3 linked regions of the Saccharomyces cerevisiae S288C genome follow. The gene in region 2 interacts genetically with the main gene of each other region. Each region holds a gene or a part of one and is shown on either strand. Other genes may lie near its edges.

Region 1 (4,389 bases), on a different chromosome or scaffold from region 2:
GGATGCAGTGCAGATATAGGCTACTTAGTTGGTTTTGATACAATTGCTAGGATCTTTGATGAAAAATATTATCATCCTTTAAAAATCAGTGATGTAATGGAGAGCTTCATGTCGGGATCTCAATTATATTGCTTGGCGAGAGGCGATTGCCATCTCAGTGCTGAATCGCAACTAAGATACGCCAGTGACATCCTTGAGGGAAAATTCGAACCGGTAATACCAAGAGAATGGGGCGCTAGGATTCATGTTATGCAAAATGATTATCCAGCATTAAGAAATGTTTCATCATCCGAGATTAGGAACAAACTGAAGAATGGGCAAGTGGAGAGTTTGAAAGACGAGTTGCCATTGTGCATATACGATTATTTGATCAATAATAAGACAATATTTGATTGAAAGAGAAAGATAGAAATTCAAATGCCTTTCATGGAGATATATGTATATAGATAAAGATAATATTAGGAACAAAAAAAACTTTCTGTTATACTAGACTAGTAATCTTAAAACAATAACATAGCAACAAGGCATGTACCAAAAAGAAGGGGGTCCAATTGCATGCTTGGATTTGCTGAGTTCGCGTATTTTGAAATCACTCTTTTCTTGGAGTCTTCACCTTCTTGCGTTAAATCTTTGTACCCTTTTTCTATGATTGTACCATCCTGTTTAACATTCAGCGTATTTTCCTTCTTACCAGAAATACAAGTGAATTTCCCACCCCTGATGATTGATCTTCCATTTGATGGGTTTGTCCATTTATTGCAATCCAACACGTTTGATGAACTCTTAATAAAAGCGCTACCTTTCACCAGTTTCAAGCTATCGAACATGATATCTTTGAACGAACCTTCAAAGAAAATAGCACCTCCAATCTGCTTCAAGTTTGGCAGGAAAGTAATATCCTCGAGGGATTCGTTATCGGCGATCATCAAGCCACCTTGAATGTCTGTTAAGTTCTCCAAATTAACTTTTATTAAATTTACATTGTTGATAATTCCTAATGTTCCACCAATCTTCTGCAAATTGTTCAGGTTCAATTCGTAAAAGTAATTTTCGATGAACTCTAAAGAGCTTTTCACTTTTGTTAATTGTGGAAGGTAGACCAATGATGTGTCCCTAATCGTTATGTTTTCCACTTCTCTCAAGTGTGGCATTTCAAGTTCTAGCTCCTTAGCGTTCGCATGTACACTGAATTGTCCCCTAATGGTTTTAACGTTCGAATGAATAGTTTCTAAAAATCTGTTATTATTGATATTGAAAGTATCAATTTCCTGAACCTTGTTGAAATTCTCGATGTTTGCTAATGAAGTATCCGATATGACAATATCCTTTATAATCTCAATATTCTGAGAATCCATGGAGACGTAGTTCAAGATGGGAACAACTTTCCACTCCAGTGACTGACAAAATTTCAAAGTTGGAATTTCAACAGAAACCAAAGAGGTTAGTCCCTGTAATTGGAAGAGCCCTTCGATTTTATTCAAGTTCCCGGCTTGGATTCTGATCAGTTCAGGTGAATCCTGAATAATCAGGTCACCACCAATGGCCCTCAAGCTGTTCAAATCCAAAATGTTAGAATCATAGTTTGTGACTTTTAATGACCCCAAGATGAATTCACATTGGTTTTGTAAATGAAAAAGATCATGAGACGATTCAATGACGTGCAAATCTTTTTTACACAACTCTGATATCGGTGAGTTTGTGTTCAGACTCTTGACATCTATTTCAAAAAACGGTTCATTTGCTCTTCTTTGAAGTTCGAGATTACCGTTATGAAAAGGCTTCACATTATGTGGTCGCCTTGGCGGATCAATAGCGGCACCCAATGCATGTGTCACAAATAATGATGCAAATATAATCGCGAATAAACAACTTTTCCTAGTAATACGGTTCATAAGTCGATCAAGTAATGAAAAAATGGCTTTTGGTTTTCCTTGTTGTATTTCAGATGAGATATCTTACCAACAGAACAAGTTTCTCTATTGTATGTCACAAAAGGATATAGCTTCTCCAAAATCTTTCTTTTTTATATTTTTTTTTTTTTTTTTTTTTTTGAATTAGTGACGCATCTTCTGTACAGTAAAGAGAGAAAAAAAGGGTATAATAAAACAGTTAAGCTATACTATAGTAGCGCATACACACAACGTATATACATCTAGTATTAAATATTAGTAATTATTAAATAACGAAAAAATAAATTATGGTTGAAATAGAATCAAACGTAAAGAACAAAGAAAAAGCTTAATGGAACGAAAGTTAAAAAGCTCCCCAATTTTGAACAACGGTTATGGAATTAGAAAGAAAGAAAAAAATAAAGGAAATAAAAATGTTCCTAGAATAAGAAGGCAACACCGGCAGCGATTGCTGCTCCAAAGGCACCCGCCGCCATGGTATTAACTACGGCTTCGCCAATCGAAACTGTCGTAGTCACCGAAGCGGTAGGAAGAGTAGTATTTGGCTGCGTAGCATTTGGCTGCGTAGCATTTGGAGTAGTGGCGTTAGGTTCAATGCCAACTTGGGCGTTGATAGCAGTGACTGTAGCTAGAACAGCGACAATGTTTTTGATTTGCATTATTTAACGGAAGTATAAGGTTTGAAAAGGGAGCTTTAATTGTTTTAGCCGTTATCGATTTAGCGGTGAGAATGAAATAAAGAAAAGAGGAAGAAAAGACATTACATACAAATTTTTTTCAACTTAAATGGAGGTTATGTACTTTCTTATATAGATGCTAATCTTTTTTTTTCATCTCATCACAGATTTACGTCGTCAATCTACTAACTTCCCTTATCTTCCCTAAAGGGTATCTTACGTTTCCCCTTAGGGAAAATGAGTTTTGTCCCACCTTCCCTTTGGGAAAAGGCAATGTAAATCTTAGAGGCAAGAACCACACTTGTTGATAAGATCAGCTGCGTAACAGTGCGCTAGGCAAAGGGATGGAATAAGATAAATCCCTTGTTATCCCTTTGCTTTTAGTCTTATGTTGGGGAAGTCCACAAGTTATTGTTACATAAAGGAGGAGAAGAAAACTAGGGGAATATTTATAACACTCGCATTAGCTGATCGTAGGAAAGCAACACAAAACATATGCATCAGCTGGCCCTGTTTGTCTTGCTCATCGATTGATTTTGCAAGCAAAGCTGGGATACCCGAATGTGTATGGTTTTCCTTTTTTTGGTATTTTTCTCCTATAAACGAGCTTTTTTTCGTCTTGCATTCAGATTTAAATAGCTGCTTCTAAATATATACTTTACGCAAGAGGGTCCGGTCCCAATAGGAACCAAGCTATTGCAATTCCAGGGTTCAAGAGAGAAAAATCTGTAATCACTTCGAACCAATGTTTAGTAAATACCTCGTAACTGCATCTTCCCTCTTTGTGGCTTTGACCTCTGCAGCATCTACCGTTGATCTAGATGCTCTGCTTCTTCTACCAGGGGTCGAGTCCCACGACGGCGTTGATACTGTATTTTCGACCAAAGACTTTTATCAAGTGTCATTCGTCAAATCCATTGCTCCTGCTATCGTAAACAGCTCCGTAATCTTCCACGATGTTTCTCGTGGTGTGGCTATGGGCAATGTCAAGAGCAGAGCAAGTATCTTCAACCCAGAGGAAACGTATTACGATTGGGAACAGTACCAAGTAGTAAATAACGGAGACTGGCGAACCGAATGGGCACCTGCCTCTGACTGCATTTGGAGGGAGGAGAAGGATAACAGCGACGAAACACCGGACAGATTCCCCATCTCGGTGCCATATAATTGGACGTCACAGTACTCAATTGTAGATTATGACACAGACGCTAACGAAGACAATTTAGATTTCAGGTTTATTAAATCATTGCTAGATAAGAAAAATTGGTTGAAAAAAATTAACCAGACTGTTTCCCAATCCAGTATTATGGTAGCACCAATGATTAGGCCATACAATGTGGTCCAGCTTTGGTATTCAAAAGATATGGTTTGGGCAAACGTCCAAAGACAATATTGTAGCGGTGTTTATCCAGGAGGGACTCAATGTAGCGCTTGGTCCAGGTACTACCATGTTGATGCACCCACCTGCGATGAGCCTGTCGCCTCTTACATGACCAAAATGTTGGAAAATGAGGTTCAGTGTCCCAATGAGAGAAACGCAACTACCCTAGAGCCTCTCCGCCTGAATAAGCAGGGAGACTCTGATTTTTCTTTGACTTTCGAGGAAGAGGAAGAGGAAGAGACAGGATCTAAATCTCTTTGGAGTACATTGAAAAAAATTTTCTCTAAAAGAAGTATAAGTTGATCTTAGTTGGTAGCACTTTGATGAGGTCTCTAGCAAAAAGTCTACAAACAAATTCTTGAAAGTGTTTGATTGTATATCGATATATCAGAAACATACATATGATTTTTATCTTGTGAAT
Region 2 (7,375 bases):
GTCATGAAATTAGTCGACCTTCGTTCTGCGCCTTTGAAATGAAAAATTTCAACGTAATTAAAAAAAGATAATAGATGAAAAAAAGGTAGTATTCACGTGTGGCTTCAAGAAGACACCAAAGGCAGTGGTCTAAGTTTGTGTTGGTAGAATGGCTGGCAAAGCAGGGAGGAAACAGGCTAGTTCAAATGCAAAAATAATTCAGGGCTTATACAAGCAAGTCTCTTTGTTTTTAGGAATGGCTATCGTACGTCTATTCATTTCACGTAAGGTTACAATTGGCCAATGGATTAAGCTGGTGGCTTTGAACGTTCCTATGTTCGTTGCTCTGTATATCATTGTGCTATCCGGTAAGCCCAAATATGATGGCAATCGCGTAGTAAAACAAGGTATAGACTTGAACGACAATACAAATTTGATATCATATTTTTTTGATTTGATATATCTATCACTTTTTGGTAACATTGGTATTATAGCTTTCAGGACATTCAAATTTTGGTGGTGTCTACTATTGTGCCCCATCTATGCTGGTTACAAGTTATATGGCCTCAAAAACATGTTCATGCCTGGCGCTCAACAAACTCAGGCAGATAATCGCTCAAAAAATGCTAATGAGGGACAATCCAAATCCAAAAGGCAGATGAAAAGGGAGAGGAGGGGTGAAACTGACTCTAAAATTAAGTACAAGTATCGTTAAACAAAGCTTTTCAAACGTTTTTGAAATTTTTTGCTTTCTATAGAGGAGTGTGAGTATATACAAAATAATATTTAGATATACTTAAAATGAGCATGCTACACAGGTATCTTCCAAAACACTGTCATAACGAAATTCTTATAGCCGTTCCATAAACGGGAACAATATGGGGGCAAAGTACGGCTGACATATGCATCCAACCTAAGGACATATTGTTTAAATATCTGCCTCATAGATTCACTTTGTAGGTACCTTAATTTGAAAAACCATACATAGGTTAGTCCTGCCAACATTGTACCCACTACCTCAAACGACACGTTTGCTCTTCTTACCAACAACAAGAAAAAATTGAAGGGCACTAAGAAGAGGCCCACACGTAGGCCGCAGATAATCTCAAATACTTGCGCCATCTGTAAGAAAAATCCATTGTAGTTTTGGATGAATACCGTTATTTTGGAGTTCAACAAATTTTTCAAATTAAGTGGTATCAAAGGCAAAAATGGCAAAAGGTTTTCCTTAAAATAGTTCAGGAAGTGAAAGATTGAAAAGATAACGGGACTGTATAACGAGCCGCTGATTATGATGTTAAACTGTGATAAGAGAAAAAGTATGAATAGCATGGCAAAATACTGCAAATTATCCAATTTCTTCATCTCTTGGCGCAAAAGCGTAAAATTGAACTTTAACTGGTCACTTTTGAAAAACTGGTAAAGAACGATGGCATATGTAACGGATATGTAAAATAATGATCTTCTATAGCATGACAATTGGTTTTGTTTGGACGTGATTGAAAGATGAAATTGTATAAAGTTAAAGATGGTTAAAAAATGGCCTATAAACCAATAAAACTGGGGTTGTTTTATTCTTGATTTGATAATGGTGCCAAATGGTGCCATGGGACGATTCCTGGGAACGGTCATATTGTTTTGTGCTAATTTTTTTTTACAATTATTCGAAATGAGTCTTGTTTGATCGTGGCCCCTTCTTTATTTCTGATTCCAAATCGAATTTTCAACTCTCTTATTAATATTTTTTCGGTGTGGATGAGAAGAAAAAAAATTTTTCTAAACTCTTCGAGAAAAGAACAATGAAAAGAGAACAGTAAAACGTCATAAAGCCTGTTAGTTCTTGACATAAAGACGGTAAAAGAATCGCATGTTTTCCAATGGAATCGAGTAGTCGAGTTTTGGGTCCATTCTATACCAAATACTGTCGTTCTCGGATACTAGTGACCATGGACCTGTCGTTCCCTTGTCCTTTCTATTGCCTACTAAGATAGTATCGATAAGAAATTGGATTGGGAACTTCTTGTTGTTGATGGTAATGTGAGAATAGCTTCCTGCACTCTCTAGTATGAGAAGATGGCAGCCTGGGGCACAGTTCTCGTTTAACCGTTGCAGAAATTTTATACTCTCCACTTTTTTCTGTGTAAATAGTTCATTTGTAGTAAAAAGTAGAGTTATTAGGTCGAGGCCTTGATATATCTTGATATCTTGTGGCTCTGTCATTTGTAGGCAGTCCTTGTGGGTAAAGTTGACGTTAAATGACTCTGCTTCTGAATCACCATATAGCCATTTCGACTTTATTGTAGCTGTTAGCTTTTCAACAACTGTGGACCAGTCGGCGATATCTACTAGTTGTATGTTTAAATTTCTAGGCTTTTTGTTTACTTCGTTGTCTATTTTCAAAGCAGAGGCAAATTTAGACGAAAAATCTCTCGATAAAGTGAATATGCTCGCTAATGCAACCAGCTCACCACCAGCGCCGCCACCTATGCAGAGCACATTTGAGTCCTTGTCATCAATTTCGCATCTGATAATCTTTAGAAGCTCAGGGAAATGTGCAAATACTGATGCGTAACTTGTTGCTCTGGACGGTGACCAACGACAACAATATGCTATTCTTTTCGAGTCGTTATTGAAAGCAGCATTGTAATCTCTGTTATAAAGGTCAGATTTTACCGCCTGTATTTGTTCAGTTAACGGTGACTTTTCATTGTCTTGATCTTTTGGATATAGCTCTTCTAAGAATGTTATTTTAAAAAGATCGATTATTTCCTGTGGTGGAAGCGTTGATTTATTGTGAACGGGCAATTGGGCCACTTTTTTAGGATTCATGTTAATTGGAAACTGAGAAGAGTAATGATATTGTGAATAAATTGGTATATATTTAAAATATACTGAAGAAGTTAAAAAGGCAAAGCGTCTCATAAGCAACATCAAAAACGTGCAAAAAGAGACCCTGCGATGAGATGTACTCTAATTCAGAAAGAGAAAAAAAAAAAAAAAAAAAAAAAAAATAAAAATGCACTAAGGGCCCAATGGATTTCTTTTTTTGATATTGAATCATTCATTAAACATATTTATTAGGTTTAGAAGATTTTAATTATACAAAACTTATGCTCTATTTAAAATAATATTAATGAATTTATTCTTCGTCTTCTTCTTCGTCTTCTTCTGGAGTGACTTGGTAGAAGGCCAATCTGTATTCGTTGGTCTTGGTAGAGACAAATCTGATCCAGTCTCTCAATTGGTTCTTCTTCAAGTACTTCTTTGTCAAGTACTTCAAGTACTTACCAGAGAACTTGGCAGTGGAAACAACAGTAACAACGGTACCATCTTCAGTGACAGTGACAGCGTTACCCAAGTTACCGACAGCACCTTCGACCTTGATGTGGTCGATCAAGTACTTAGCGTAGGAAGCTGGGTCGAAGACACCGTTTTCAGTTGGAGAAGAGACATCGACGGTAAAGGTCTTGGCAATCTTTTGCTTTCTGGAAGTCTATATCAAAAAAATTAAAGATTGAAAATTAGTAAAAATTTTCAGAACAGTAATGTTAGTAAAAAACGAATATTTCACGATTTTCTTTCAATCCCGAAACCACAAAGTTGCCTACTGCTATTAACAATCACATATGACAATCTCAAACAAAAAAACATTCAGAAACGGATAAAAAGAAGGGAGTCGATATAGAGTTCAATGTTCAAGTAGTGAATTTTTAAAATACAGAAAAGCAACTAAACACATAGACGCTTCTTCGTTTCGTACATTTTTATTTTTTTTTTTTTGGTTTTACTATCTTCCTTGTTATTCGCGTACAATCAATCATTACAATAACAGTAAAACATAGACTTCGTAATCGGGCGTGGATTCCTTTTAAAGTATCATACGTTTGGGGCCATTGTTTCTTAATCTGTTGTTTTGGTGGTTTATAATTTGATAACGGTAAAGTACAGGTAAAGTTGTTAATCTCAATTAATAATGTACATATTGTATGCAGCTAAATGATAGTTTGAAACATTTTAGGAAATTCTCGGTAAGATTTGTTCGCGTGGCCTGTTGAGGATTTTTTCAAAAGAGAAGCGCACTGAGGTGGAAAGGAAAAACAAATTAACATAAATGTATGGATGTATTATTAAATGTACTGATGTTTATCAAAAAAACTGTCTTTGAAAGTTAAGTACAAGCTAAACATTTACTCAGTAGCGGTAGTAATATTATATAAAACATGGTAAACTTTAGTTGTGTTTCTATATATAGATATATATATGTGTCTATCTATCTATATAAGTTTTATAAATCAGTAAAAATTTTTGTTAGAACATTACATTATAGGAAGACTTCGGCATTAACCTCTACAAAGGATGCAGCGAATGGAACGTCGAAATTCATCATGACTTCAGGATGCAAGACACCCAAGTGGCCGATTTGCTTTGGCTCAGCGCCTTCTTTGGATCTGAACATGACCTTGGCACCTCTACCTGGGAAGTAGGTTTTCACAGAATCGTCTTCTTCAATCCAGTAACCTCTGCCAGAAGCAGCAGCACCGTAGTCTGCAATCCACTCTGTTCTAAAAGTTTGCATGATTTTACCCAATAACCCTTGAATGATTTCAAACCCAGAATTCTTACCCACGTAGATGGCAGCCCAGTGACGTTCATTGTACGCCTTCCTTTCTAGTTTGTCGTCTTTAAATACAACGTCACCGGTTTCAAAGACTTTGATTGGCAAGGAATGTTTTCTGTTTTCCTTGACTGTCTTTAAGATACCAGGCAATAAAGTGGTTCTAACAACTTGGTATTCCAAAGTCTTTGGGTTGGCCAATTTGACAGCTAAATCACCATTGTCGGATTGTCTTAGAAATTTAAAGTTTTCATCGTGCGAACATAAGGTCAATGGTAAAACCTCAACCCACGTGGCTTGAGAGGATGCAACTCTGAAAATATCAGAAACCTTGTTGATTGGTAATGGTTTGGCAATGAAGTTGGCATTGGATAATTTCTCACCCTTTGGCAAATTATTGAAACCATAACCGACAGCGGCATCTTCCATTATATCACAAGCGTGCAAAATATCAGGTCTAGTTACCGGAATGTCAACGTGCAAGATGTCCTTGTCTTCCTTTGATTGAACGGCATGCAACGACATCTTCTTTAGACAATGAGCAATTTCATCAGCGGATTGATCTAGGCCAAGACAGGAGTTGATGTACTTAATGGAGACATCCATAATTCTATCGTTGAAGTTTGGCGCCAAACGGGATTGGCCATTGTGTTCAGAGACAATTTCTACAGGCTCAACCGTGAATGGTTCGTCACAATAACGTGAGAACATTGTAGTTAATATGTTCAAAACGATCTCGGCTTTGGTCTTATCGGTGGCGGTTATATCAATCAAAATGTTACGGGTGTTCACAGAGATCTTCGAATGTTCACTATTGATTAATGGTGGCAGGGAGCAAACACGATCTTTGCTGTCCATAATAACTGGGAAGACTGGAGAATCCTCAATAATGTGAACGTATCTCCCTATGTTGTTTTTCTGTTCTGGAGATTTATAAAACTCGATCAATTTGTCACCAGTAAACTCTTGGGTTTGATTCAATGGTACGAACTTGATGTCCTTTGGTGGTAGAGCTCTGTAATGGAATGGACCTTCAATTGAATCTAAATCGTGAGTACCCATGGCAACCAAGCTTCTGTTTCTACATAGATTGGCATGTAATTTATCTTGCAAGGCAATAAAAGAAGCGTAAGATTTTTCGTTAAGCTTGATATTTCTCAATACAGCAGCGGTAGCAAAAGGTCTAATTTGCTCCGTTGATTTGTCGATGATCAACTTAGTGGTTGGCTTGCTTAATTTATAGTCAGGTCTTTCTTTACGTTCCAAGTATTCGTTCAGCGACTGTGAAATACCTTCGATACAAAGCAAATCGTAACGATTGGCACTGATATCAAGCTTCAATTCCGGCTCCTCCCCGGTTTTCAAGGCCTCCTCTGTGGTGTCTTCGTCCATTTCCATACCGAATTCAAAACATAATTCATCGAACTCTTGGGAAGTGTAGTTTTTGCCTAGAAGATCAAATAATTGCTGCTTGTTCACGGAGACGGTAGGCATGCTGGCTCGGTGTTATTGATGTGTGTTATGCTATTCTGCCCTATTTTTTGAACATTTGATCAACTCCAGGCTTTCGAGAAATACATTGAAAATTTTTCATTTCCTTCAATTTTCTTTCTTTTTTGGTACCGATTCTGAATAATCGGTCACCTCGTGTGTCGTGATAAATAATCAAGAAGATGTACTTTTATACAAGGGTTGTAGTCATCTGGGACACTCTCAGAGCACTGGCTCTGACGACAACCATCAAACGCATGCTCATACGTATAATTCAAGCCTTACATACACTGGTATTCCCTTTGGGGTGTTTCTTTTTCCTGTCAAGTTGGGCACTTAAAAGAACTAATAAAAAATCAGTGTGAACTTTTCGATTTGCAAAGAAAATGAAAAAAAAGAAAAGGAGCTTTCACAAATAAACAGAAGAGATCAAGATGAAGTGGTTGTTGTTTCCGGCAAGAATCGTAGCTCGCACTCGCCCAAACCTCTTCTCGCTGTACAGAAGATCCGTTTCACAGTACTTACGTCCTCGAACCATCCAAAACCTGCAATCAATGGCGCAAACACCCGAACTTAAAACCAAGCTGTTCAAACCCTTGGTCTGGATCGACTGCGAGATGACCGGTTTAGACCACGTGAATGACAGAATTATCGAGATTTGCTGCATCATCACCGATGGACACCTGGCACCCGTCAAAGCGGCCGATGGCCAAGGAGACTCGCATTATGAGAGCGTCATCCATTATGGTCCCGAGGTGATGAACAAAATGAACGAGTGGTGTATTGAGCACCACGGTAATAGCGGTCTCACCGCCAAAGTTTTGGCAAGTGAGAAGACTTTGGCCCAGGTAGAAGATGAGCTGCTCGAGTACATCCAGCGCTACATCCCAGACAAGAACGTTGGCGTCTTGGCAGGCAATAGTGTACATATGGACCGCTTGTTCATGGTCCGCGAGTTTCCCAAGGTCATTGATCATCTCTTTTACAGAATAGTTGACGTCAGTAGCATCATGGAAGTTGCCCGCAGACACAATCCCGCTTTACAAGCACGTAATCCAAAAAAAGAAGCTGCCCACACTGCTTATAGTGATATCAAAGAGAGCATAGCTCAATTGCAATGGTACATGGACAACTACTTGAAGCCACCACAGGAAACAGAGTCGGTCGAGTCAATCGGATCTGAACAGCCGGAGTCACCATCTTCATCTACCTCATCTTTGAAAAGACAACGCACCGATTTTTAATGTAGAAAAAAAAAAAGAAAAAAGAAGTGAAATTTTTCAAATATTT
Region 3 (3,447 bases), on a different chromosome or scaffold from region 2:
TAACATGTTAGAGATTGACCGAAAGGAACTAAGTAGAGATGATTTTGATATCAGGCAATTTACGAAGAAATACAATCTAACCGCTATTGGGGCACATATCTGGAGAAGCGAATGGGATGCCAAAGTCGCCGCCGTCAGAGAAAAATATGGCCTACCACCTGGAAGGGTTTTTAGCAGAGTTAGAAGGTGATCCTAAATAGTATGACATTATAGTATCCTGTACATATAAAATAACGTGTCATTGTTAATAAAGCTTGATGCAAATAATATAAAGTAAGAATCTGAAAAATTTTTGGAATGTGAATTTTGTTTACAATACGATACGTATGATATTAGTATGTTCTAGAATATATACATTTCATTTTTTTCCTTATTGTTTGTGCACTAACGAATGAAGAAAAAAATATGGAACATCTAGCGAACGAGAATCCATCATAACTTCGTCATTCAGTGCGAGCTAATGTGCATTTTTAGTATCCTATTTATGTTGAAGCTTCTATTTATGTTGAAGCTTCCTTCAGGGATTCAACGGCGTTAAGAATAACTCTTTCAAAATCTATATTAGGATCTTCCAAATTAAATGAGGCGTTCGCAGGCACATCTTTAGGAGTTACTACAGGGTGTAGCTTGGCGTATTCCTTCTTTGCCTCCTCTACCAGCTTCAATTTCTCCTCGTACTGTGCCTGCTCCTCTTTCTTCTTAGCATTACACTTCAAAATCATATCATTTCTAAAACCAAAAAATAGCCCCAAACCCAACGCAGAGTATCTCAAAACATTAACTGTCGACATCCTTTAACTCACTCAGCTAGTTCCTATATACGTTATGTTCCGATATAATACTTCCTTTTATCTAAAATTTCTGTGTGAAAAGTCAAAAAAACTAAAGAAAAATTTATACCCTTAAATAGATCTGATTGGCTCCGCGGACCAATTAGCGTGGAGATTCCGCGAATGATCGAATAATAAAGATATGTCTTAATTAAACCCATGGTCACCCAGCTTCGATTGAACGGTATGTATTCTTGAGTGCAATTCTTCTAAGTTCTTATTAAGTGTGACGATCTCCTCCAATCTACGCTGCTTCTTATAGTCCTGAATTGTGGACTCAATAAGGTAGCTTTGTTCCTTTAGGACCATCAATTCTTCTCTCAGCTCTTTCACTTCTTTTATGGTCAAGTTTTCGATCATTAGTTGCGATAATTTCTTTACCTCTGGTTCAGCTTTTTGCCCATCTTCATTCGTTTTATGGCCCTCTGGGTTCAAAATTGCCGGAAGCGACTTCAACGGTAGGATTTTTTCGTTTATGTATGCAGCGGAAGCTATCTTGATCGAATTTTGAAGTTGTCTCTCTAGATGACTTTGAGGTTCTACACTTAAGAGCTGTCTTGTTAGTGTATTATACAAGTTAAAAGAATTGAGTAATTTATGTCTTAATCGAGCGAGATCATTCAGATTCTTTGGATCAAGTGTATTTTCAGAATCCTTGGCAGTCTCCACCTTCAGGCTATTCAATGAGTCTTCAAAAATGGGCAGGAGACTATCAATTACTTTGGATATATTTTGCATGCTATCATATTTAGCAAATATTCCACTTAGCGGCATTCTAACGTCCTTGTTAAATTTCCTGCCAATAAATAGCATATCGATACAGTGCGAGCACAATCTTATGGATATAGGAATATGAAGTAAATCATCCTTCTGTATATTGTATTCGAATGGCAGATCTGACGCTGCAGACATTAAATAACCTATGCTTATTTCGTTTGAGCAGTTCCTGTTTGCATCATCACAAACAACCATACCACATAATCTGCAGTGATGCTTCCTTAGTAATAGCCCAAATGGTTCGGAACATATGTTACAAAAGAGTACACTTCTATCATCTCTCCATGGAGTAACTGTACGTTCTAACTTGGACATTTCACTATTCATCTTCAAATTATGAATAATGGATCTAGAATATGTGTTATAGAGTGTAATCAGACCATCAACTAGACGGACAAACCGATTTTCTAATTGTAATAGCCTTAAGTTTTTGTCCTCTCTTTTTATATTTCGTACCTTAAAGAATTCTGGTGTTAAATCTATTACTTCGCCATAATCGTTATAGCCAGGTTTTGTGACGAAACAATCATGGCAGCAATTGTACCATTTCCCGTTTCTGGGGTCATACTGTGCGGAAAGATTAAGTTTAATCATATTAGGAAGATGCCTTCTGCAATACAGTTTACCACATTTCCTACAATTAATGGCGCCAATATTGTTATTCAAAGTCCTTCCACATGTGTGACAGCAGCTCTTCCCTTTTTTGAATTTTTCCCAATGGCTTCTTTTCAACTTTTGCGCACTGCTATCAACAGATCTGGCCTTTTTTTGTTTACCATTGACTAAACGACTGTCATTGGAACCGAGTGAATCTTCATTATCGTTAAACCCATGCTCAACATCTAAATGTGCATTTAGTGCTTGTAAGTTATCAAACTTCCTTAGACAAATGGGACATGAAACATTTTCAAGATCCATAATAGATAAGTCGCCAGGAAATTCGGTGATATCCCTTTAAAAACCATGAGATCCGGCTTTGCTCTTTAGGTCGGTCAATTTAGCTACTGATCATATGTTTTCATTATTCTATTGTTTTCCCAAAGTATTACCCTGCCTGGAAATAACAGTGATAGCCAGAGTGATTCCATCGCCAGTACTTTTGTAATTCAGGAATACATTTATACCAATAAATGGCTCACATTTAATGTCTGCATACGTGATTACTACATATATATGTCTGCGTATGTGCTTGGCTATTTTACATTAGCGAGTTTCTATAAAGTACTAACGCCATTAGAGTTTTTTGTAACTGAAAAATGCCCTTAGAGTATGATAGCCTTTTAATAGCATCTCTCTATTCTTCGGTATGTTGACTTAAATTAATCAAAACACTAACTTTGGTTGAATAAACGCCTTTTGTTTGGAGTGAAAAGTTAATGGATTTCTTTCAATTATTGCCAATTCATTACTAGAAATTAAGTCAACAAACAGTAAAGGTTTATATTTATCAGTAAAGAAGAAGTGACCGGAGCTTTCTTCGTTTCTTTGTACATCTGTGGACTTTATTTTGTTTCCTTGGTTTAATAATACATTCAAGTTTTCGCTGATTTCCATATCAATATCGTCATCTTCGTCATCTTCCTCGTCGTTCATGAAATTACTTTCATCTGTGATAGTTAGCCCTTCGTGTGTACGTTTTTTCTGTTTTCTTCTCTTATTTATAGGGAAGTCAACATCAAAGTCTATTCTTGATATCCAAGTAGCCCCCCAAAACCATAATCTGCTACTATTTTCTATGTCTGAAAATATCCCTACACAGTTCTCTTTTAATGTCTTCCATTCTTTTGGTAAGTTATCCGTATTGTTTTTTGACCATTGAGTTAATACGCTTTCGCTATCT

Evidence for each region.
Region 1: mutations in RPL22A (region 2) and SPS22 together harm fitness more than expected from each alone (negative genetic interaction), as found in Saccharomyces cerevisiae (2 studies listed by BioGRID).
Region 3: mutations in RPL22A (region 2) and TIM11 together harm fitness more than expected from each alone (negative genetic interaction), as found in Saccharomyces cerevisiae (2 studies listed by BioGRID).

What each region holds. Positions count from the first base shown.
Region 1 is NC_001135.5:39,668-44,056, reverse strand, and holds SPS22 (Sps22p), read right to left. Parts: upstream 1,893-4,389; coding exon 501-1,892; downstream 1-500. Other genes in the region: POF1 (nicotinamide-nucleotide adenylyltransferase), read left to right, coding at 1-396; YCL048W-A (uncharacterized protein), read right to left, coding at 2,330-2,569; YCL049C (uncharacterized protein), read left to right, coding at 3,333-4,271. UniProt on the Saccharomyces cerevisiae protein: Redundant with SPS2 for the organization of the beta-glucan layer of the spore wall.
Region 2 is NC_001144.5:259,692-267,066, reverse strand, and holds RPL22A (60S ribosomal protein eL22 RPL22A), read right to left. Parts: upstream 3,874-7,375; coding exon 3,862-3,873; intron 3,473-3,861; coding exon 3,119-3,472; downstream 1-3,118. Other genes in the region: SND2 (Snd2p), read left to right, coding at 149-694; PER33 (Per33p), read right to left, coding at 790-1,611; BMT6 (25S rRNA (uracil2843-N3)-methyltransferase), read right to left, coding at 1,813-2,910; FRS1 (phenylalanine--tRNA ligase subunit beta), read right to left, coding at 4,301-6,088; REX2 (Rex2p), read left to right, coding at 6,520-7,329.
Region 3 is NC_001136.10:1,111,503-1,114,949, forward strand, and holds TIM11 (F1F0 ATP synthase subunit e), read right to left. Parts: upstream 792-3,447; coding exon 501-791; downstream 1-500. Other genes in the region: mitochondrial 54S ribosomal protein mL38 MRPL35, read left to right, coding at 1-190; PEP7 (phosphatidylinositol-3-phosphate binding protein), read right to left, coding at 978-2,525; small subunit rRNA maturation protein UTP4, read right to left, coding at 2,931-3,447. UniProt on the Saccharomyces cerevisiae protein: Mitochondrial membrane ATP synthase (F(1)F(0) ATP synthase or Complex V) produces ATP from ADP in the presence of a proton gradient across the membrane which is generated by electron transport complexes of the respiratory chain.